4 linked regions of the Rattus norvegicus genome follow. The protein of the gene in region 1 purifies or fractionates together with the protein of each later gene. This does not show direct contact. Links are inferred from orthologs where the notes say so. Each region holds a gene or a part of one and is shown in the gene's direction. Other genes may lie near its edges.

What was found. The genes of interacting proteins can lie anywhere in the genome.
Region 2: the proteins of Wwp2 (region 1) and Ndfip2 purify together in Homo sapiens (affinity purification with western blotting; 3 studies listed by BioGRID and IntAct, with this or other methods). This does not show direct contact. The link is inferred for Rattus norvegicus from reciprocal best matches to the Homo sapiens genes WWP2 and NDFIP2.
Region 3: the proteins of Wwp2 (region 1) and Ptpn14 purify together in Homo sapiens (affinity purification with mass spectrometry; 3 studies listed by BioGRID). This does not show direct contact. The link is inferred for Rattus norvegicus from reciprocal best matches to the Homo sapiens genes WWP2 and PTPN14.
Region 4: the proteins of Wwp2 (region 1) and Polr2c purify together in Homo sapiens (affinity purification with mass spectrometry; 3 studies listed by BioGRID and IntAct, with this or other methods). This does not show direct contact. The link is inferred for Rattus norvegicus from reciprocal best matches to the Homo sapiens genes WWP2 and POLR2C.

What each region holds. Positions count from the first base shown.
Region 1 is NC_086037.1:52,254,193-52,260,179, forward strand, and holds the start of Wwp2 (NEDD4-like E3 ubiquitin-protein ligase WWP2), read left to right. Parts: upstream 1-2,370; 5' UTR 2,371-2,435; intron 2,436-5,987. UniProt on the Homo sapiens protein: E3 ubiquitin-protein ligase which accepts ubiquitin from an E2 ubiquitin-conjugating enzyme in the form of a thioester and then directly transfers the ubiquitin to targeted substrates.
Region 2 is NC_086033.1:88,490,832-88,496,127, forward strand, and holds part of Ndfip2 (NEDD4 family-interacting protein 2), read left to right. Parts: intron 1-461; exon of another isoform or gene 462-534; intron 535-1,335; coding exon 1,336-1,460; intron 1,461-4,034; coding exon 4,035-4,101; intron 4,102-5,296. UniProt on the Homo sapiens protein: Activates HECT domain-containing E3 ubiquitin-protein ligases, including ITCH, NEDD4, NEDD4L, SMURF2, WWP1 and WWP2, and consequently modulates the stability of their targets. As a result, may control many cellular processes.
Region 3 is NC_086031.1:103,937,894-103,943,189, forward strand, and holds part of Ptpn14 (tyrosine-protein phosphatase non-receptor type 14), read left to right. Parts: intron 1-1,193; coding exon 1,194-1,428; intron 1,429-3,333; coding exon 3,334-3,497; intron 3,498-5,296. UniProt on the Homo sapiens protein: Protein tyrosine phosphatase which may play a role in the regulation of lymphangiogenesis, cell-cell adhesion, cell-matrix adhesion, cell migration, cell growth and also regulates TGF-beta gene expression, thereby modulating epithelial-mesenchymal transition.
Region 4 is NC_086037.1:10,162,952-10,169,030, reverse strand, and holds the end of Polr2c (DNA-directed RNA polymerase II subunit RPB3), read left to right. Parts: intron 1-1,040; coding exon 1,041-1,109; intron 1,110-1,236; coding exon 1,237-1,289; intron 1,290-2,805; coding exon 2,806-2,934; intron 2,935-3,267; coding exon 3,268-3,319; intron 3,320-3,493; coding exon 3,494-3,662; intron 3,663-3,783; coding exon 3,784-3,858; intron 3,859-4,427; coding exon 4,428-4,572; 3' UTR 4,573-4,883; downstream 4,884-6,079. UniProt on the Homo sapiens protein: Core component of RNA polymerase II (Pol II), a DNA-dependent RNA polymerase which synthesizes mRNA precursors and many functional non-coding RNAs using the four ribonucleoside triphosphates as substrates.

The sequences.
Region 1 (5,987 bases):
ACTGATAAAAGTGTGACTTGGATATACTTCTCAGGAGATAAAGGAAACTATGTATGGCTTTGGGGGACACCTGTCATTTTTATGCTAATTGATCAAGAGTAATTAGGAAAAAGTCTTGTCATGGTAGAGGAAAACTTCAAAAAGAAAAACAGACAATGACATAAATCAAATAATACCAGTCTTGGGCTGCAGAGATGGCTCGGAGGTTAAGAGCACTGACTGCTCTTCCAGAGGTTCTGAGTTCAATTCCCAGTAACCACATGGTGGCTCACAATCATCTGTAATGAGATCTGATGCCCTCTTCTGGTGTGCATGAAGACAGCTACAGTGTACTCATAAAATAAACAAATCTTTTTTTTTCTTTTTTAAACAAATCTTAAAAAAAAAAAAAAGTCTGTTTTCTTGGTCCCCTGGCTAACTACTCTGCTGTCAGCACTGGATGGACCTCTAATTCTCATTCTGATTGGCTGAATGATAGGCCAGTTATCTATCAGTGTATCCCGTTCAGTAAAATTAATGGTCCTTAGGACCAACTATGCTTTTTATGTTTTGAAACACCTTTTCTATGTAGCTCTGGCTGTCCTGGAACTTGCTCTGTAGACCAGGCTGGCCTTCAACTCACAAAGATAACTGGCTTCTGCTTTCTGAGTGCTGGGAGTAAAGGTGCACTTCACTTCCTGGCCCACTTCTCCCTCTTTAGTCCATAATTTGACTCACTCGCTAAGAGCTGACTCCATGGTGGGAGTCCACTCAGGCCATAAAACTCAGCACACAGACAGCATCAGCTGCCAAAGTGAAAACAAAGACCTAATCCACCCAAGTCCATGTGTCTGGGAGTCTCTAAATGTGCTAACCTTGCCTTTTGGCTTCTGTAGTTCTGCTTCTGACTCTTTCTGCTAACTGGAGTATGTCAACCCAGAACATGAGTTTTGCATTTAAAACCTTGGCCTGTGAAAGGCTCGATACTACACAGGGCTCCTGAACACCTAGTGTCGTCACAGAGTGGCTAATAAAGACTTCCTTTTGGTAGATACGCCTCAGCAAAGGCTCCTGACACTCAGCTGGTACACAGTATACATGCCAGCGAAACATCTATAGAATAAAATGTAATAAAAATTTAATATGGGGGTTGGGGATTTAGCTCAGTGGTAGAGCGCTTGCCTAGCAAGCGCAAGGCCCTGGGTTCGGTCCCCAGCTCCGAAAAAAAAAAAAAAAGAAAAGAAAAGAAAAAAAAATTTAATATTTCAGTTAACAAAACCAAACCCAACAAAAAGCCAGGTGGTATGGCACCTATCTGTAAGCTGAACAATCAACTGGGAGGTGAATGCCAGCCTAGGTTACAAACTCTGCCTCCACTGGTCTCCTCTCTCACCCCCGCCTCCCGCCCCAATGGTATAAGCTGGTAATCCTAACTACTCAGAGGTTGAGGTAATGGAATTAAAAGTTCGAGGTTAGTTGGAGCACTTGAAACAAGACCGTTCCAAAGAAAAACCAGAAAGTTAGCAAAATGGCTGGGAACACAGGTCAGTTTTAACGCCCTTGACTAGTTCTGTGCAGACAGTTAGATTCGACTGTCAATCTTGCAAAACCCAGAAAGTTTCTGCTGTCCAGGCTGTGGTGAGGTACGCCTACAATGCCAGGAATTAGGAGGCCAAGGACAGCATTGGGTTCCAGGTCAGCCAGGGTTACATAGACTCCCTGTTTGCTAATTCATAAGGTTCAGTTTACTGCATATACGGAGATAATGGGAGTTGATTCCCCATGGGGGCACTTATGGACTCGAGAAAAGTTTTGAAGGGATGTCATGTCGTCTGTGTCCTGTCCCGTGCCCCACTCCCATCCCCCTTCCCAGTTTTGTTTTTTGGAACAATAGCAGATAACTTACAAAGGCCAGGGTATTTATACTTCCAGAACTGAGAACAAGGCCTTGCACATAGTTGGCACCGGCTGTCAAAATTACACGAGATGCTTAAGGTTTTGACCAGCGTACATCTATGGTGTCAATACATTCTTTGCAAATTTGGGGACATGCTTATAGTGACACGGTTTATCTGACATTCAAATGTAAGGAGCGTACTGGTTTTTATCCAGCAACCCCTACAAGATTTGCCGACTTAACTGACCGGATGATCTTCTCCCACCTGTACTATGGGGAAAAAACAATTCTACCTGCTTCCAAAGGAATAAATAAAGCCCCTGGTACCGGTGAACCCTCATTTTATACGCCCGCTCCAGCATAGCCCTGGTGGTCCTTTCACTCCGGCCCTCACCGGGTCAAATGCTCACAGCCCGGCTCTAGGTGGTCCGCACCTGCGCGCCCCGGCCAGCCTCTTCCGGGTCAGGTGACCGCGCGCGCCCACGTGACCCGGTCTGAGTGCGGGCGCTGGAAGGCGGAAGTGGAGCGGAGTTAGGCGCCGCTGGTGTGGCCGCGGCAGGTAGGTTGCGCGGGCACTGGGGGCTCGGCAGCGAGCGGGTGGCGCGGGACAGCCAGGGGCGGCGGGCGGCGCGAGGGGCCGGGGGCGGCGCGGGGCGGGCGCCGGGGGGCGGCGGCTTCCTGTGGGAGGGGCCTGGCGCGCGGTTCCGGCCTCCGAGGAGGGGTGTCCCGACTCGCGCCCGGGCGGGGTGGGCGCGGGGCCCGGCGGGAGTCGCCCGTTGCTGGCGTTTCCGGAAGGGGACCCCAGCCTGGGCGCCTGCGGTGTGGAGGAGCCGCGTCTGTGAAGGGGGGCCGACTTCGGCCGGGGAGACTCGCATGCTCCCCGGAAGGGGCTGCCTGGGAGTGGGCGTCTGGCTAGTAGAGACTGGAAGAAAAATCTGGACGTTGCGGCCTGGACCCCATTCTGAGAGTCTCTTCCTTCCGTCCTCTTTGAAGATGATGGCGACCCGAGACTTTGATACCGGTCCTGTTTAGTTTTTAAACTTCAGGAGGGATCCCTGAGTCTTGGTAGTCTGACTCTGGTCACACCCACTTTGCCCTGTTTGGGTAGGGTTTCCACTTGTTGGGAGCTTAGCCCTTCCTATCATCTTTCTTTGAGATGCTCCCAGATCGGGTCATCTTCGAGGCAAAAATAAAAAAAAAAAAATTAAAGACGTGTAGGTGCTTTGCTGTGATCATAACAAGACTTTTAACCTACACTGTTGTCAGCAGCGACATGGACCAGCGTTACCGCAGCAATGCATTGACTGCTGAAGTCTTGGACCGTTGAAAGTCTTCCCATATCGCTTTGATACGTTTCCTCTAAAGCTTAAATTATGCAGCTTCCTTTACTGTGTGACTGCTTATCTTGACCAGCTGTGACTAGGTGGGGTGACTGAGAAGTTTCTGTTGTGTTCCTTAGAACTGTGACCTAGATCTTAGTTTTTGAGGCTAAAATACCCATCTTAAGATTCTTAGTCCTCTAGGCTGAGTCCTGAAGATGGCCTCAAGTTCCAGGCCAGCCTGGGCTAACCAGTAAGACCTGAATAAACAAACATCCTCTTTCCCCTTCACATTTGCTAAGGTTTGCAGAAGTGAAATGAAGTTTATGAGTGCAACGAAGGTGTCAGGGTTCAAATGGTACAGTGACAAGAACCAGAATCAAAGGTCGCTGGGGGGAAAAACATTAATACATTAGGGGTTGAAGACTTGGGGATATATTACAAGCATTTAAAAGTTAATTTTTGTAGCAGTCTCGAGAAGTCATTCCCACTTCATAGATAACAAACTGAGAGAGTTGACTTAAAATAAAAGATGTAATTTTGGGGCTGGGAATTTAGCTCAGTGGTAGAGCGCTTACCTAGGAAGCGCAAGGCCCTGGGTTCGGTCCCCAGCTCCGAAAAAAAGAACCAAAAAAAAAAAAAAATGTAATTTTGTTTGTGTGTGTGTGTTCCTGTGTGTATGAGCTCACTGAGGCCAGATGAGAGCGTTGGGTCCCTTGGAGCTAGGGATATAGGTGGTTGTGAGCCTCTGGGTTTGCATGCTGGGAACTGAACTTTGGTCCTGTGGAAGAGCTATAGGTGCTCTTACCTGTATCTCGTTAGTCCCAACCTGACACTTCATTTTGTTTTTCTTCCTTGTTTATTGTCTTCTTCCTGCTAGGACTGTAAATCATTCAAGGGCTGTGATCCAATATTACATGACTTCTTTGGCTACTAGCTCTGTGTTAGGAGTACTTGGTCAGTGTTTGAGAAATAAATGAGGTTTTAAAGGTCACACTGCTTGCTGTATGTAGTGAACAAAGGGTTTGAACATAAGTTTTCTGTCACTTTCTCTGTTCAGTGTTATTGGTCTATGGGAAAACCATGAGGAAAAGGCTTCAATTGGCTTGTCTGTCTCTTTTACTTTTTTTTTTTTTTTTTTTTTTTTTTTTTTTGGTTTTTGTTGAACATTGTACCTTACCACTGAGCTCCATAGCCCTTCTTTTTTGTAATTTTTATTTTTTCCTTTTGAGACAGGATCTCAGTAAGTTGTCTGGTGTGATTTCAAATTCCCGTAGCTCAGGCAAGCCTTGATCTTGTGATCCTTTTGCCTTCGTCTCCACAGTAGTTGGGATTTGAGGCCTGTACCACTCAGGCCATATTAGTCTTTCACTTAATGACTATGTCTCCATCTGCAAAGAACTGATACCAGATTCTCATTTAATTTAATTTAATTTTATTTTTTTGGTTATTTATTTGAGACAAAGTTTTACTGTGTAGACCTGGCTGGCCTAGAACTCATGAAGATCCACCTGCTTCTGCCTCCCAAGTGCTGAAATTAAAACTGTACTATTAACTGTGCTCAACCAACCTCCCCTCCCCTTCCCCTCCCTCTCTCCCTCCCTTCCTTCCTTCCTTCCTTTCTCTTTTTTTTTTTCCCCTTTTCTTTTTTTCGGAGCTGGGGACCGAACCCAGGGTCTTGCACTTGCTAGGCAAGCGCTCTACCACTGAACTAAATCCCCAACCCCCCCTTTCTCTCTTTTGAGACAGGGTCAAACTGTGATTTTTTTGGCTTTTTGATAGAAGGTAAGTTATAGCTCAGGCTGGCCTCAAACTGGTTATGTTGCCGAGGAACTTAGGATAGATTCTCTTGTCTCTCCCTTTCAAGAGTTAGGGTCCAGGCCTTCACTCACCATTGCGCCTGGCCCAGTGTCTCATTCAATGCCAGCTCTATGAAGGTTGCATTGCTTCATTCGAGGATGAAGAAACTGAGGCTTGCTGAAGCCCTGATGTTGGATTCTAGAACTAGTGAACAAATGCAAGAGTTGGTTCTCTCCTACTATATGGATCCTGGGAATCGAGTTCCAGTTGTCAGGTGGTAGCAGATACCTTTACCTGATGAGCCACCTTTTCTACCACCTAGGTTTTTTATTTCTAGACATAGTATTTTTAGTTCATAGAAGCGATAAAAATTTCATCTTAAAATAGTTTTCAAATATAAAAAGTATGCTATTAGATTGGGTATAAGTGGCAAATATACCTGTAATCTGAGCACTTGGGAGGTAGAGGCAGGAGGATTGCTAGAAGTTCAAATGTTCAGGTATAATGTGGGTTACGAGAAGAAAAGGAAAGAAAAGACATGTAGATAAAACAGAAAAGGACTGGAGAGATGTCTCAGTGGTTAAGAGCACTGGCTGCTCTTCCAGAGGTCCTGAGTTCAAATCCCAGCAACCACATGGTGGCTCACAACCATCTGTAATGGGATCCGATGCTCTCTTCTGGTGTGTCTGAACACAGCTAGAGTATATTCACATACATGAAATAAATAAATCTTAAAAAAAAAAAAACAGAAAAGGGTCAGAGAAAAGATTGTAAATGTATAATGTAACCTATACTGCTGAGAAAACCCTGCCTGCTCTATACTTGTGTACAGCCTCAGTGCATTGCAGAGTGATTTATAAACTGTAGAAGTTTGTCTTGAGAGTGGAGGCTGGGAAGTCTGAGATGGAGGGTATGATGGTTTATATGTGCTTGACCCAGGGAATGGCACTATTAGGAGGTGGGGCCTTAGTAAGGTAGGCGTGTCAGTGTGG
Region 2 (5,296 bases), on another chromosome or scaffold:
GTTTTATAAATGCTTCACACAGTAGTTAAAATTTTTTTTGGTAGCCCAAGAGCCTGTTTTGATAAACCTAGATTTGTTGGTACTTACTACCATCTAGTGGTTATTCTTCAGATTGCAACTGGGTTTATACCGCATGTTTAAACTGGCTTTAATAGAGCTTCTCACTTAAGCATTTCACGTTACATGTGTGCAAACAAAATCACAGAAAATATATGATTTTTAATAAAAATTTTTAATAGGTTCAATTCTTGACCTCTAGTTACAACATTTATCTTTTTGCTTCTTAACTCATGTCATGTTCGAAAAGATTTACAATTAAATTTAATGACATAATTACATTTCATGTACAGAAATTAAAAGGGAAGAAATGTGTGTATCTCCGAATGGTTAGTAAGAATATTAGAAGTAATCTCATTCAGGTAGTATCATCAAGTGCCTCTTAGAAACATTTTAAGTGGGGGTTGGGGATTTAGCTCAGTGGTAGAGCGCTTGCCTAGGAAGCACAAGGCCCTGGGTTCGATCCCCAGCTCCAAAAAAAAAGAACCAAAAAAAAAAAAAACATTTTAAGTGAATAGAATAGGAGTTGCTTGTCAGTTAATTCAACTCTAGATTTGATCCAATAAATAATTGACCCACTTGCAAGTGACTTGGAATGCTAGTGCTTTAAAATGTGGGTTTTGGAGAAAACTTCTCCCTCAAGGTTTAGCCATTTGTGTTCTGTGTGTCAGAATGAGACACTCCAGTTTGTTACCCGGATCATTCCTATTTAGACCGCAGGGAAGCTGAAAGGGAAATCAGTGTTCTTGAAACTTAAACAACAGGAACAAAAAGGAAAACCAGAAGGACCGTTTTGAAATGTAAATTGCGACTTGTAGAATATGCTGGATTTATGGCTACTTGATACAATCCAAAGTTATTTGAGAAGAAGGAACCTTAATTAAGAACATCCCAGAATAAGATCAGCCTGTAGGCCATTTTTGTAATTAGTGATCAGTAGGGGAGGGCCTAGCCCATGTGCTCCTGAGTTCAAGGAAGCAGGAGGAGAGCCGTGCGGAAGGAAGCTGGCAAGCAAGCTGCACCCTCCATGGCCTGTGCATCATGACCTGCCGTTTGAGCTCCTGTCCTGACTTCGGCGATGACCCATGGGGTGAAGTTTATTTGCTTAGTAACCGATAGATCTGCAGACAGCAAACTGCGCGGTCTCTAAGAGCAGCCCACGTATAAAGTTAAAATAAAGTGGTTTCATTCTAGCAGTGAATGAAGTATTGTTATTACTATGTTTCTCTTTATTTGTGTAGGAATTATGACCTTAAATCATATTTCTGTTATTTGCAGTGGCATTCATATTCAACTGGCTTGGATTCTGCTTATCCTTCTGTATCACCAATACCATAGCTGGAAGATACGGTGCTATCTGTGGATTTGGCCTCTCACTGATCAAATGGATCCTTATTGTCAGGGTGAGCATCTCGATGGTTTCCTCCTTACCTTCTACCATATGGATTTTCAAGTTCATTAGACTTGGTGACAAGTGTCTTTACATAGTGAGCCATTTCTGCAGTCTCTCCTGGGTTTTTCAAGGATGGACCTAGAAGGGTGATCAAGGGTAGCTTTATTCATTGTGTCATGTTGTCTGCGAAGCTGTGTGTCTACCACTCTAAAGCCAGTGCGCTGGGAGAATGGAGCCTGAAAATGAGGAGGACTAAAGTCTTAATGCAGTAACCAGCGTCATTCAGTGTCAGAGTTTATACTTTGAGGCTTAAGAAAAGTCAGATGAGTAAAGTGTGTAATCACAAAGACAAGCCACACGTGGCAAAACCACGTTTATCCATAGAGGCATACGGATACTCACTCCTGTCCACTACACCTGGGAGGAGCACGGAAGCATACTGTAAGAGCAGTTCTGTGTGTGACGAAACCGAGATCACAAGTCTGTTCACAGAATCTTAAATGTTACACAATTACTAGAGTATGTAAACTATACAAATAATCAGTACTTAGACATTGCTTTCTGGTTGAAAGAGCTAAATCTTGGCTAAAGTTGTCAATAGAATCACAGGTCTAAATGTTTGTTTCTGTTAAATGCTTCAGATGTTTTATTAATTTATTAACAAGTATAATTTATTAAAGTAGCCATTATACAAATATTAATACTCAGAATGATATTTTTATTAGTTTTGAACTTGTTTTATAGCTTTGATTCTTTTCACAACTCCTACACTGGTACATATCAGACTGTAGGTTTCTGACTGTTAATCTTTTGGGGTCTATTATAACATGATTGACGGTTGAACCATTATGAGAACTGTCCTCTGATAGTTTTTTGTTTTAAATTTACTTCAGATGATGTCCTGTGAGTTTCTACCATGAGCTTAAATCAGCTAGATGGTGTATATACACAGTGACAAAGCTACAATCCTCTTGCAGATTTTCTTGCTGGAGAAACTGAAAAGAGTTGAGTTACGTTTGTTCAGACTTAGCTGTATTAGAACTGTTGCTATTACTCAAATGGAATTTCTCATTGAACATAGCAAACAATTCAAACCTACTGTCTAAAGTTTCCTAAGTTGATGCTTTGCTAGCGTGATTCCTGGTACACAGAAAGGAAGTCCGTCCATCCGGTATGGCCTGTACCCTGGGGGTTTTAGAACCTCACTCTCATTGGCATTCTGCTTGCTGAGTGTCAGGTAACATGCGGAGTGCTGAAAACAGAGTTGTGGGCCTTTCCTTTTTTGTTTTCCACAGCTTCTAAGACTCTTAGGAAACTTCTCTTGAATATAAAGTGGTTTTTCAGTTATCGTTTTCTCATTGTGTGTCTTATATGTGGGAGTCTGCAGCAATGGTGGTTTAGATGTTCCAAAGGCTGGGATATTCAAACTCTTGTGAATCTTTAAAACTCTTAGCGTAGACCGTAGGTAATAGCTCTTGATTAATTTAAAATTCTTCCAAAGAAAGTACTTCAGAGGTTTTAAAGACATGTTTTGATAATCTTGATTTATATGCTTCCCAAGTTGCAACACCATGTATAATTTGTACTTTTACTATTACCAAAGCTGTAGATTTTTAAGCTCTTATAGAAATTACCAACAAATCATTGGAAATGCTTTTAATTAATTTCAGGTTCAAGCATCATTCTACCTTTTTTCACAATTTTTAGGTAAATTGGATTCAATTTGGAAATCAGTAGAAAGAAATCAATCAAAACTATCTTTTTTGTTTGTAACTTTTAGAATATGTTATCTGAAACACTTAAAAGTAATTATTTGGAGGCACTTTAAGATGTAGTGTGAGTTACCTGCTAAGGACGCTGCACTGATGTACTACCAGGCTCTGAGAGTGCAGTGTCTGCTCTAGAGAAGGCCCCTGTGCTCTCTGCTGTGAGGCCACCTGCTGAAGGCCCACCTCACACAGGACATGGCCGGCAGCAACCACTGTTGAAATGCCACTTCGAGGCTCATTTAGCTATTCTCCGCTCACTGTTGGGAGCTGAATGTCAGGCATCTAGTTTGAAATAAAAAGTTTCTAATGAGTTGGGGGGTCTTTCTGTGCCTAGTATTTTTGGCAGTGATTAACAGTAGGGGGTGTAACAGAAGGTCAAAAACTCTCCATTTTAGAGGTCACCAGAACATCCCCATCTGATAAGATTAACCTACTGTGGCTTTTGTGTTAATACCCAAAGCAGCAGGTGGCTCTGGCCCATTTGGGATGTGGCTGTGGCTTTGGGACTGCATAAGAAACTGACTTTTCAATGAAAAAAAAAAGTTTGATTCCAATAGATAACATTTAGGCATTTATCTTTTTGCAAGCAGTTTGGAGGTTTTGTTTATAAAGTACTTTACGGAAGTTTACAATCGCATAAGAATTTTTTCACCATTAAGTATTATTCCTGCCCTTTCCTTTTGTGCTGTTTTTATATGCTATTTTTAAGCATTAAAGATTATTTAAAGAGATAATTTATTCTGAAACCTAGGATAATACAAATATTCAAATGTAGTTATACAAATATGATTAATATATTTATGTTTACCCCATAGTTTTCGGACTATTTTACTGGCTATTTCAATGGACAATATTGGCTTTGGTGGATATTTCTTGTACTTGGTAAGTTTATTTTTTTATATTCCTTTTTATTTAATCTTTTATTTTTTTATACTACAGATTTACATTCCAGATCCCATACCTTCTCCCTGCCCGTCTCCTGAGGACGTCCCCTCCCCTCAGGCCTCTAGCCTCCCTGGGGCCTCCAGTCTCCTGAGGGTTCCGTGCATCTTCTCTGACTGACTGAGCCCAGAGCAGCGTTCCTCCTTAAGGCAGTACAGTTTAAAATAGTGTTTCTTTATTGCTCAGCTTAACTGCTAGTCCTAAAATTATAAAGTGCAAGTAAGTTGTGTTCCTTCCTAGTGTGCAGAACTAATTCTAGTGTAAAGGTTGCCCCCACTTAGCTCCTTAGCAACGGAGGGAACAGAGGTGCTGGGACGATAAGTAAGTGCTACAGAGTTTGAAGTTTCTACCTAATTAAAATAGTTATCTTTATGAATTATCTTAGGAAACACACGTGTATAATTTTAATGACAATGTAGCATGTAGGAGGGTTTCTGCATGCAATGCTGTCTTCTTGTTTTTGGATCACAGAAACCTTTGTGCTTTTGAAATGTGCCTTTCCTTAATCATTAACCCACAGTGCAGGGAAAGGCTCTATGGCCAACGATCACAGTACTTCTGCTTAGTTGTCTCCTCAGTAAGGCACAATTTTTATTATGTTGGTGACATCTGTGGGTTTTCAATAGTAGGTGGTAGTTAATTTTAGCATCATATTCTACTCGTGACCCATATTTCAAATGTCTTGACTGTTGAGACTCATTTTAATTCTTTTAGGTTTCAGTAGGTGGCAGTCTTCTCTGTAGGTTCTTAGTCGGGCCGTTGTGTTTTGAAGGTTGTTTGGGAAATATATTATTGGTAGCCAGTTAAGGTCACTAAATTTCTAGTGTAATATTATGGTAAAGTTATGTTCTTGTTGTAACTAGGTTGGGGAGTCACAATTATAAAGGGTTAAGATGGGTTTATATAGTGTTAATTGTGTCCTCACTTCTTGAATTCTTTGCTTTCTATCCAGTCTCTTATCTAAAAGTTGAAAACAAAAGCCCTATGAGTTCTGTGAAGCATTTAAACACACTTGTGTGTATTTGCTTTTGATGCCCATTTATAAGGGTGAGTGCGGTTGGAGGAAGGTAACTGTGGGGCAGAGTGCCACCGGTGATCCTGGGTCCACCGCAGAGCCAAGGCCTAGCATTTACTG
Region 3 (5,296 bases), on another chromosome or scaffold:
TTTTACAGGATTGGTATAAAAGGGAAAAGAGTATTGCAGACCTAAGGAGATTCGGTCAAACCCAGTGTGTCCAAACAGGTGACTTGTGTCCCCCAAGGATTGTCACCTCTCAAGCAGGCAGACTGATAGGCCCTTTCTTTAGTCAGTTATTTAGCTGTCTGCCTTGAGACAGGGTCTCAGGTAGCCCAGGTTGGCCCCAAACTTGCTCTATATCGAAGGCTAACCTTGAAGCTTTGAAGCTCTGTCTCCACCTCCCACGATGACAAGCATACACCCCCGCGCCTGGTTCGTTCAGTCCCATGGGTTGAATTCAGTGCTTCACGAATGCTGTCAATGCACCCCACCCACTGAGTGCATCCTGGCCATGACAGCTTCTTCTTACCATCAGCCGGGCGGAGTCCCTGCCCCGCTCACCGCTCCTTCTGTCTTCTGTGAACACCCAGCCTCTTCACCCATCCCCTCCTCAGCCACCAGCCCCACCATGCTTCCCACCCACCACTGGGGATTTCTGAAGCGTGCAAAATTGAAAAAAATAAATAAACAATAAGGCTTTGAAAATGGTAGGTTGTGTGTGGTCTCAGAAAAGATGTTAAAAGCTGGGAAGGAAAATGGCTCCTAAGAGGCTCTTCAGTGCTTTACTTGTAGGTTGAGCCAAAACGAGCTGGCCAAGCTAAACTTAAGTGCGAGCAGCTTTGCGTGACAGGGGTCGTATATCATAGGGAGCCCTGGGTTGTCGGCAGCAGGAGCAGCAGCTCTGGAATGACTACTAGTGCTGCTTACCACTCAGAAGCCTCCGGTGGCTTTCTGTCCTCCGTAGGCTAACATCCAAGCTGTCTTCAGGAAGGTGAGGTCTTTCCTGCCTCCCAGCCCAGCGCCTCCCCTCTCTCTTGCTCCTCTCCAGCCACCCTGCAGGCCTTTCTCATTCTCAGACACACCGTGGTTTTTTTTTCGTACATCTGGACTTTGCACTTACTGTGTTCTACCTAAATTCCCCACAAGGTAACTGTCGTTGTAAGGGGTATCAGCCTTGGCCCGTATCTAAAGGAACCATCCTGGTAGACATCATGCAGAGCCCTGTGGAGATGTGACTTAGAAATTGCTGTTTGTTCTCCTGCTCATGGATCCTAACCTCAGGAGGATGGATAACAGTTCACCCCTGACTTGTTTCCGTTTTGCCTTTGTGTGTGACTCAGGAGGGTGGACGGACCAAAAGCCATCGATACTGGCCCAAACTGGGGTCCAAGCACAGCTCAGCCACCTACGGCAAGTTCAAGGTCACCACCAAGTTCCGGACAGATTCTGGTTGCTATGCAACCACGGGCCTAAAGGTGAAGCACCTGCTCTCGGGGCAGGAGAGGACGGTGTGGCACTTGCAGTACACCGACTGGCCCCACCACGGATGCCCAGAGGATGTCCAAGGATTTTTGTGTAAGTTTTTCCCAGACTGAGTTTTACTGCATGTGTCAGCAGCCTGGCAGTTGAGTGGGCAAGCCTACTCTCAAGCCACGGGAGTGTTAGAATGCTGAGGTGTTGGTCCCCTCATCTCTATATAGGACAGAGAAGAGTAATAAATATCCCTTCTCCGCTAATCTCTTACTCGAGTCTGCAAGAATGTGGTAACCTAACTCTGCTTCGATCCAGACTTTCAGCGTCTCGCTGATCAGTCACTATCTAACGTGCCATGACATAGATGAATCCTGAGGACTGCACACCAAGTCAAAAGATGGAGACATAAATGCATGTGCACGGTGGCGTTTGTCCTGCCTGGGGCACCTATATCAGGAAAAACCGTTACGTGCATCTCTGGTTTCAGGGCACAGCTGGTTTAAGATACTGTTCATGACACTATATTTGTGCTGTGTGTCCCAGGTAGTTCCCAAGGAAGGTAACCAACAACAAGTGGGCATACTGTACCCACCAAGAGGCCCCACTGTGTGAACAGAGGCCCACTGTGTGCAGAGACCCACTGTGCACATGTTGGACAACATCACAAACTTGGCGTTTATTTGGAATGTTTAGAATCTGCTGTGGGGTCTGAGAAGGCTCATGACAGAGATGAGGTTGTCAATACCAAGTGGGGAAGAACCACTTCTCCAGTTCTATCAGCTTCTGATGTTTTGACAGAAGGATTCCACTTACTGGTAACATGGGGACAGGCCTTGAGGAGCACAAAGAACACAGAGTAGGGCAGCAATGGGGCAAAGAATTCAAAGCCCCAGAGAGGTTAAGTGACCAGTTGTTTATCCCAGTTGTCAGTGAAGCAGGGTGTGACCTCTGCAGACCTTCCCATCCTCCAAACAGCGATAATTATTCGATTCAGAGAATCTTCTGCTAGTGGACTTGTTAAAGTTGTCTCTCAGAAGAAAATCCAGATTAATACCAATAGACCGGCTTAATGATTGACAGGTCTGCTGACAGGTGGGGCCCAGGAGATGCTCTCCAGTGTAGTCAGATCTTTAAGTCAGAACTGGTTTGAGGAGTGACAGACTAAGCTACTGGGGGATACAGAGCATCCCTTTGTGGGTTGCCCAAGGGTTGATTTGGTAAGAATCTTGATGCAGTGATGTTGTATATCTCCATGGGAATGCTGGCTGTTGTAGAGTCCAAAGATCCATTTTTCCTCCTTATGTGATTATGGCAAGAACCATTAACGGACCCTGTGGCTGTTTTCCTTTTGTGTCCCTTTGGGACAATAAACATACCTTTGTGCACCCCCGCTGGGGTGGGCAGCTGCTAGAAGCTGTGAAAGCATGCCTTGAACCCTCCACCTACAGGCTTGCTGTCCGCAGAAGTGGGGTTCCTATTGTATGGTCACATAACTTCATGCCAGTGGATTCCCTCAAAGCCTTTTTTTTATAATACATCTGGAAACGAATTCGAGCCTTCGATGACATTCACTCATTTTGTGATGGGGAAGAGGATGGGGCAGGTGGCTGCACTTTCCCCAACAGGACTTGGCTCTGACAGGAGGGCATTTCAAGGGGAGTTAGCGGATGTTCTGATCCCAGTCTGTTAGTAGTATGAAATGCTATAAGTAATGTCTAGGATCATCTGCTAGGGGGACTTGGGGATTTGCAGAGAGGGAAACAGAATTTAATTTTTAAAAAAGAACTATTTAAAGAACAAGTTCTCCTGTGGACTAATTGACTCCCAGCTGGTCTCTCCTGGCTTCGGGGTGTTACCAGCCAAATGATTAGCGTCTTATAAGAATTGCAAATCATTATGACCGAAAACAAAAGATTCACCCTCAATCCTGGCACCGCTCCCCCTATCCCCCTGGACGTAAAGTCATGTGACACACTTGGGTGACGAGATTTACATTTTGTCCCGCAGCCTACTTGGAGGAAATCCAGTCAGTCAGACGCCACACCAACAGCGTGCTGGAAGGCGTCAAGACCAGGCACCCCCCCATCGTGGTTCACTGCAGCGCAGGGGTGGGAAGGACCGGCGTGGTGATTCTCTCCGAGCTCATGATCTACTGCCTAGAGCATAATGAAGTGAGTCGTCCGCCTCTCTCTTGTTAGTTTATGAGATGGAAAGTGCACAGGGACCTGTGTGCGCATGTGTGGAGGCCAGAGATCAACCTCGGCGGACATCCTTTAGACACCATCGCCTGCTTTCAAGTCAGTGTCTCTCCTCACCTCACTAAACAGGCTAGGCTGTCTGGCCAGGGAGCCCCAGGGCGCCTCCAGTCTCCACTTCCCAGTGCTGGGATTAAGTCCACACTATCATGCATAGTTACCGTTCACAACAACTATGGCTTTGGGGAACTTAACTTGAATCCTCACACTTCTGTGGTGGGCGAGCAGTTTACTGAACCACGGCCCCAAGCTTCTCTCTGAGCACTGTACCTTGATGTTCTAGAAAGATCCAGCAAACCTGACTGCCGTGGGCATCCCTTTCCTGAAGCAGGCAGATGAGCTCTGCCATGGGCTGTTGGCCACGGTACATGGCTCTCCCACATGGGACTTGGATGTGTGTGTCTTGTGTTTCTGGGATGTGCTTTGCCCCAAATCCTGGGTGACGATGCCTCTAGGTAGAACACGGTTGTTGTTCCTTATGGTGCAGTTTTTATTTGGGGGTGTTTGCCCTTGTCCAGCTTGGCAGTATATTATGAATGTAGCTCACAGGCTGGCTATGTGGGCCAGCACCGGCTGTTCTGTGTTGTAATGGCACAGGGTGTGTGTTACCTCGTACTGCCATAGATTCTGGAGTTACAGCGGGAGACGTGGACAACAGTTCTGCATTCATTCACATAAGATTGTGTGCAGGGGCAGTGGTTTGGGATTCTGCGCTCTCTCTCTCTCTCTCTCTCTCTCTCTCTCTCTCTCTCTCTCTCTCTCTCTCTCTGTGTGTGTGTGTGTGTGTGTATTTATTTTTGAAAGTTCTAGGGATATAACCCAGAACTCCGCACCTGTCAGGCAAGCGCTCTACACTGAGCTATCCGCCTCACCTGTCAAGGGAGTTTCCTTGTGCTTTTTAGTGGGTCTTGCTATGTAATCCCTACACTGGGCCCTAAGCCCTAGGCTGTAAGGTTAATAAAGGGACATCCTTTCCTCTGTCCCATGAAAAGCTAGGCCCAGATGAAGAAATCCAGGCCCAGAAGCTATCCTGCGATGTAGCTGACGCTGTGTAGCTTTAAGCCGCTGTCTGATGGCAGGAAGCAAACTCTCCTCCTCCTCTGACATCAGTTCCTGCCTGCTCACTGTTTCCAGCAAGCTGTTCAGTTTCCAAGTTATGCAGCGAGGAACTCTAACTGCGTGTAATAGATGCTTTAGTGTGTGTGTGTGTGTGTGTGTGTGTGTGTGTGTGTGTGTTTGTGTTTGTGTATACTAGTAGACTCAGAGATTTGGAAATCAGCTTTATTTAGTGCTGCCATCTTGTCCGCTGTGAAAGGCCTTAGCTCTTTGAAGACCCATCTGCAACCTCTCTGTCAAGGCTGGAGATCGTGTCGCTCACCATGCATCAAAGCCAGCCTGACTCGGAATGCGTGTGGACTGGGGGATCCAGCCAACAGGGATTCAGTGGGCTCCCTGAGGCTGAGTGGCTCAGTCCTCCCCCATCTCCCCACTCCCCACCCCCACTCCCCTGCAGTGTGTTCCCCTCAGTGCCCAGCTGCAGGCCAGCACATTCCTTGGTAGTATGTGGCAGTCCTGGAAAACCTTGTGTTCTCATGATATTCAGAGACATCAGGGCGACTCGGACAATTCATGTCCTTCCCCCAGCACTAGTATAGCCACCCTTCTCTGTCCATTTCCCACGGCTGCTGTTAACCAACCGTAGACCAGACCGCAAT
Region 4 (6,079 bases), about 42 Mb from region 1:
AGGTGTGGGCCATGAACTTGTGATGTTTTACTTTTTACTCTTGAGATGTTTTCCCTAACTTGAAAATTTTTAAATTTTTTTTTTAATATTTATTTATTTTATGTATGTCAGTACACTGTTGCTGTCTTCAGACAAACCAGAAGAGGGCTCCAGATCCCATTACAGATGGTTATGAGCCACCATGTGGTTGCTGGGAATTGACCTCAGCACCTCTGGAAAAGCAGTCAGTGCTCTTAAGGGCTGAGCCATCTCTCCAGCCCTTTAAATTGTTTTTAACTGTCTCTGTGTGTAGGTGTTTACAGGTGAATGCAGGTGCCAGAGGTGCCCAGGAGTCTCAGATCCCCCTGAAGCTGGAGTTACAGGGGTTGTGAGCTACCTGACATGGGTGCCAGGAACCCTTCCCCCCCCCCTTTTTTTCAGAGCTGGGGACCGAACCCAGGGCCTTACGCTTGCTAGGCAAATGCTCTACCTCTGAGCTAAATCCCCAACCCTGCCAGGAACCTCTTAACCTCTGAGCCATTCCTCCAACCCATGTTTCCCTCAACTTTTAGGTGCCCAAATAGCTTTTATTCTTGGATTTGGTATTGGCACAGGTAGCTGGTTTAAAGTACTCAATTCCCTAAATATCTCTAAATTCTCTGAGGTAGGTAGGGGTGTATGTGTATCACTAACAAGGCCTATACCCAGTTCACTGGGGCAGGAAGATTATATATATGAAATGTGGAAGGCCTAAACCTGGAGCTAAACTTTGAAGCCTCTTACAGCCTAGTCTGGCCTGGTCTGGTCACCTTCAACTTTGTAAGCACTGACTTGATTCTTTCTTTTTTGTTTGTTTTGGTTTTTTTTGTTTTTGTTTTTGCTTTGGAGACACTGTTTTTCTTTTGTAGCCCTAGCTGTCCTGGAACTCAATTTGTAGACAAGGCTGGCCTCTGCCTCCCGAGTGCTGCTGGGCACTGAGTGATGTGAGACAGTGCTATAGGTCTGTAAATGAATCTGATGGCTAGTTCTCATTCGTCCTGTCTTGTTGCCGCCTTTTCCAGCCATTGACTGGGTTCAGATTGATGCCAACTCCTCGGTCCTTCATGATGAATTCATCGCGCACAGGCTTGGTGAGTGCCGGTGTTGAGGAAGAGATCAAAGTGGGATGCTCCCTGTCCCTAGCCTGCCTGACCTCTGAGGTTCTTGTGGTGGCTTGGCTGTTGGCTGTTCTGCAGAGCACTTTTCTGTGTCTTGCAGGTTTAATCCCCCTCACTAGTGATGACATTGTGGACAAGCTGCAGTACTCCCGGGTACGTGTGTTGGCAGATAGACAGGAAGCACAGGTCGGGGGAGGGGGGTCCAGTTCTCCCTGGGATCTTTCTGGGCATCTTCCTTCCAGCTGACTGTAGCATGCTCATTGTTGAGATGATGTCTTAGTAGTGTGGTCCTTGGTTCTGATGGGGCTTCACATTGCTCTCAGCACATCCAGGCATCATCACGGGCAGGTGTGGCGGCACATGCCTCTAGGCTCAGCTTGGGAAGCAGAGGCAGGTGGATCTGTTTGAGTTCCAGGACAGCCAGGGCTGTACAGAGAAACCCTGTCTCAAAACAACCAAAAGGGTGGGGGAACACAGCCACTTTTATGTGTGTGTATGTCTGCCTCTGTCTGTGAAGGTGGGCTAGGGTCAAAAGAGGGCATCGCTCGGAGCCCCTGGAGCTAGTTATAGGCAGTTGTGAACTACTGGGTGTTGCTCTGGCAGCTGAGCCGTAGTCACTTTTAACAGCCAGCCTCACACCCTTCATCCACTTATTGTTTCCATTTTTTGTGTTAGTTTTAAGGAACTCTCGCTATGTAGCCCTGGCTGGCCTTGAACTGAAATCTGCCTGCCCTGCCTCCTGAGTGTTTCCCTTGGTCATTAAAGGCATGTGTCCCCGTGCGTGTCTGAGAAACAGTAATAAATCCCCCTTTGTTTTGTTTCTCTGTGGTTACCAGATGATAACGTTTTACTACGTCTGCCCTGTTCTTCCCTAAGAAAATAAGCTGCAGGCGCCCTGCCCTTGCCTTCTGCGCACTTGAGCACAGATCAGTGTGCTGCAGTCCTCTACGGCTGTGTGCCTGTATCCCACCATTTACAGGGTTACCTAGTGAGAAAAACTCTGTCTCGGAACACACAAAACATCCACAAAGAGTGGCAAATGTTGATAATTAAGGAAGCTGGAAGGTGGGCATATGACAAGTGGCCATCTGTCCTCTCTGGTTCTGTATGTGGGTAGAATTTTCCATAAGAAGTTTTGAAGTAAAGATTACTGGATGTTGTGACACGTGCCTATAATCGTTCACATGGCAGTAGTAGCAGCAGGAGGATCAGTAATTTAAGTTTCACCTACATCCTAAATTCCAGGCCAGCCTAGGCTGTGAGTGCCAGCCCCCTCCTCCCCAAGTAATCTAGAACTTCAAAGTTGTTTGGGTTTTGGGGGTGTTTTTGTTGTTTTTTGTCTGTTTTCCTGTTCTTCCCTTGTTTGTATTTTCAGTAATTCCCAAGCTGATCTGCATAGACAGAACTCTATTGTTGCATAAAACCTTGGTCCTCTCTAGGCACTGCTGAATTAGCAGTGTGCCCCCTAGTGGTCACCTGTAGCAGTGGCCCTGGAAAGGAAGTGTGGTTGCCAGCAGGTATACAAGTTACCATGAGGTGAACCAGATGTCACAGCCCAAAAGGGCCTGGGACTGGGGTCACCCCTTTTCACCAAGAAGAAGTTGAAAGGAGCTGGTTAGGAAAAGCAGAGAGTCCAGTCTTCCCGATCCAACTGCCCTTCCTGCCTCAGGACTGCACATGTGAAGAGTTCTGCCCAGAGTGCTCCGTGGAGTTCACGCTCGACGTGAGGTGCAATGAAGACCAGACGCGCCATGTTACCTCCCGAGATCTCATCTCCAACAGCCCCCGGGTTATCCCGGTTAGTGCCTTTGCTCTTCTCTGCCTGGCTCCAAGTGGGGTAGATTAGAGTGGGTCTTTTATGAGATGCTAACCTACCCTGTGATCATCTACTTTAACTGCCACCTAGACGTGCTGGCCCTGAGTTCCTGAACAGAGCAGTATTGGGGCCATGTGCCCTATGTTGTCCAAAGACCCTTTTAAAGGCCACGGGGCTCTTTGGACAACTCTGCCATCTCCTTCTCAGCCTCCTTTCCCCGGCTTGGCAGCTTACAGGCTGGATTTACTGAGAGACAGTTGCCAGAGGTGATTGAGAGGTGAGAGGCTAATGCATACTTGTTTGGACTTCCTACAGGTGACATCCCGGAACCGGGATAATGACCCCAATGACTATGTGGAGCAGGATGGTAAGGGGGTCGGGCTGGATGGGAAAGGGATGGGGCAGTCAAGCTGGTGGTCAGAGCAGAGACCCTTTTGAGTCGCCTGGTCTCTTGATATTTTTCTCTTCATGCAGTACTGCAGGACACAAGTTGGAGAACTTGTCCCTTTTGTTTCTGCCTCACTCTCACCTCTCCCTGCAGACATCCTTATTGTCAAGCTGAGGAAAGGCCAGGAGCTGAGACTTCGAGCCTATGCCAAGAAGGGCTTTGGCAAGGAGCATGCCAAGTGGAACCCTACTGCGGGGGTAGCTTTTGAATACGATCCAGACAACGCACTTAGGCATACAGTGTATCCCAAGCCTGAGGAATGGTATGTTCTGGGGGGAGGGGGGAATAGCAATGGCTGTAGTGAGATTTAGGTAGGTGGGTGCTCTGAGAGCCTTGCTAACAGTAGAAGCAGCCACCTTTGCTTTACCTGTGCTTGCCCTCAGGCCAAAGAGTGAGTACTCTGAGCTGGATGAGGATGAGTCACAGGCTCCCTATGACCCCAACGGCAAGCCAGAGAGGTAAGACCCCAGTCCTGCTTGGGACTGTAATTGTAAGTGTAGGTGTGGGAGGCTGTTAGGCAGTCACACACCCAAGCTCACCACACCACACCCCATCCCCCACTCCCACCCTCATCCCCACCACGTGATAGAACCAACTGCCAAACTCGCACATCTTGAGTTGGTCTTCATCCCTCTCTAGTCACCATAAAGAAAGGGACCTTCTTACTGCCCCATGCTATTTCTGGCCTTCCTGTTTAGGCTCAAGCCAGAACAAATTAACCATAGCCCTCCCCTGAAGAACTGAAGAGCTGTAGCCAGAATCGTGTTTGGTTTTCTTCCTGCTGTCTCCAGTGTAGACATGCACGCCCAGAGTCATCTTAGGGTTTTTACAACAATGCCCTTTTCGTAGCTTCCCCGAGGAACTGTGAAGTGGGCCTGGACCACTCTGCGTAAGGGGTTCTAGGGAAAGGGAAGTCAGCCCTGTCCTAAGATCAAAGGCCTCGTAGGAATGGAGTCCAGTCTCAGAACGAAGTCTGTTTGAAGCCCAGGCTTTGCCTCATGAGAGCTCTCACCCCCTCGTCTCTCAGGTTTTACTACAATGTGGAGTCATGTGGCTCACTGCGCCCTGAGACCATTGTCCTCTCAGCCCTGTCTGGGCTAAAGAAGAAGCTGAGTGATTTACAGACCCAGTTAAGCCATGAGATCCAGAGTGACGTGCTCACCATAAACTAGCCCGCCTGCTGCGGAGACTAGGTTCAAAGTTGACCGGATTCCAGGCCCTGGGGCCCTTCTGGTTTCTGGGCTAAGGACTGCGCTTGCTCACGTTGCCTCCTGGAAGGACATCGGAGAGATGGCCAGGGGTTCCACTGGTGTTAGACAAGGCAGGTTTTATAGGGGTTTAGCATCCCTGGCCCTACATAGTGGTTTTCAGGCAGCCTAGGGGGAAGCACACACTAGTACAGAAAAGGAGTATTTATTGATCAACAGTAGCTGTCTTTTTAAAAGTTTTTATTTTTGGCAATAAAGAGCACAACATAATCTCCTTCATGCGTCATCGTGCTACTAACTGAGCCCGTTCTGCCTCCCTCCCAAGGGCTTAGGCCCATTTCCTGTACAAACTAACTGACCTCTGGTGGTCGTTCCTGGGTCACAGTCAGAGTTGGGCTGGCTCTGCCACTTCCCTGGCTCCAGGGCCCCCTGAGAGAGGCCCCCTTATCATTCTGCCACACATATGAACAGTGGTTATTTACAAGGTCTGTTCCCACAGAGCAGATCCTAAAGTATTAAAAAACAGAAACACGCAACAAAAGGTTGGATGTGAATAGAAAGATAGCCCTTCTGCACGGTAGTCAATAAATACCAGCACTAGAAAATCAGTTGCTTTAATTGCATTTCAGCAGGGAGCCTCAGCACCGTGTGGGGGAGATGGGAAGGTCTTAGTTTTGGAATCTGGCCTGGGGTGGCTGGCCCAGGGCAAGGGACTCCCTTGCTAGAGCACTATACCCCTGGTCAGTGAAGGGGGCAGCCAGGTGCTCCCCACAGCAGGCCCGCTGCAGCCTTTGGGCTGGTCCCAACTGTCCTCTACTGCTGAGGTAAGGGAGCCCTGCCCGCCTGAAGACATCTTAGCCTACTGAGCGGGAAGGAGCCAGTGCAGAAAGTGCATTTAAAAACCAGATGCCACCTCTGCTTAAAACTCCCAAGTGCAAGGCTGCCACGTGGTGCAGTGAAGTTTAGAACTCTCCTGTGTCACTGTAGGCCCAGAGGACAGAAGCTACCTGCTATTGTGGCCCTTAGGCTTCTGAGAAGAGCTAGCAGACAGCACCAGTCTGATTGTCCCCTCCTCTGACCCTAGCAGCTCAAGCAATCTTGGCAGCAGGAGAGAGTTGTATCACTGAGGACAGGCATGGCAGCCCTCATTCATACTCAAAAGACAGCCTTGACCATGCCTGGTCGTGGAATTAAAAATGGGTATGTGTTGGTGGGGAGGGATAGAGGATAGCCTCGTTTATACAGAATATGTTATAAGCCATATATATTAAAACCATTAACAGTGTATAGTTCCACGGTGGCTCTAGCCCCTCATGCTCAGGTGGTGTGGCCAGCCATGTACTGAGGTCCAGCCTCACCCTTGAGGGCAAGAGGGACAGCTTGCTCTCTGGCTCTTGGCCACCAGCTCCTTGAGGCTGTCCATGGACTGCTGCAGTGAGCTGTCCTCCAGCAAGTGGCCCAGCAGTCGTGA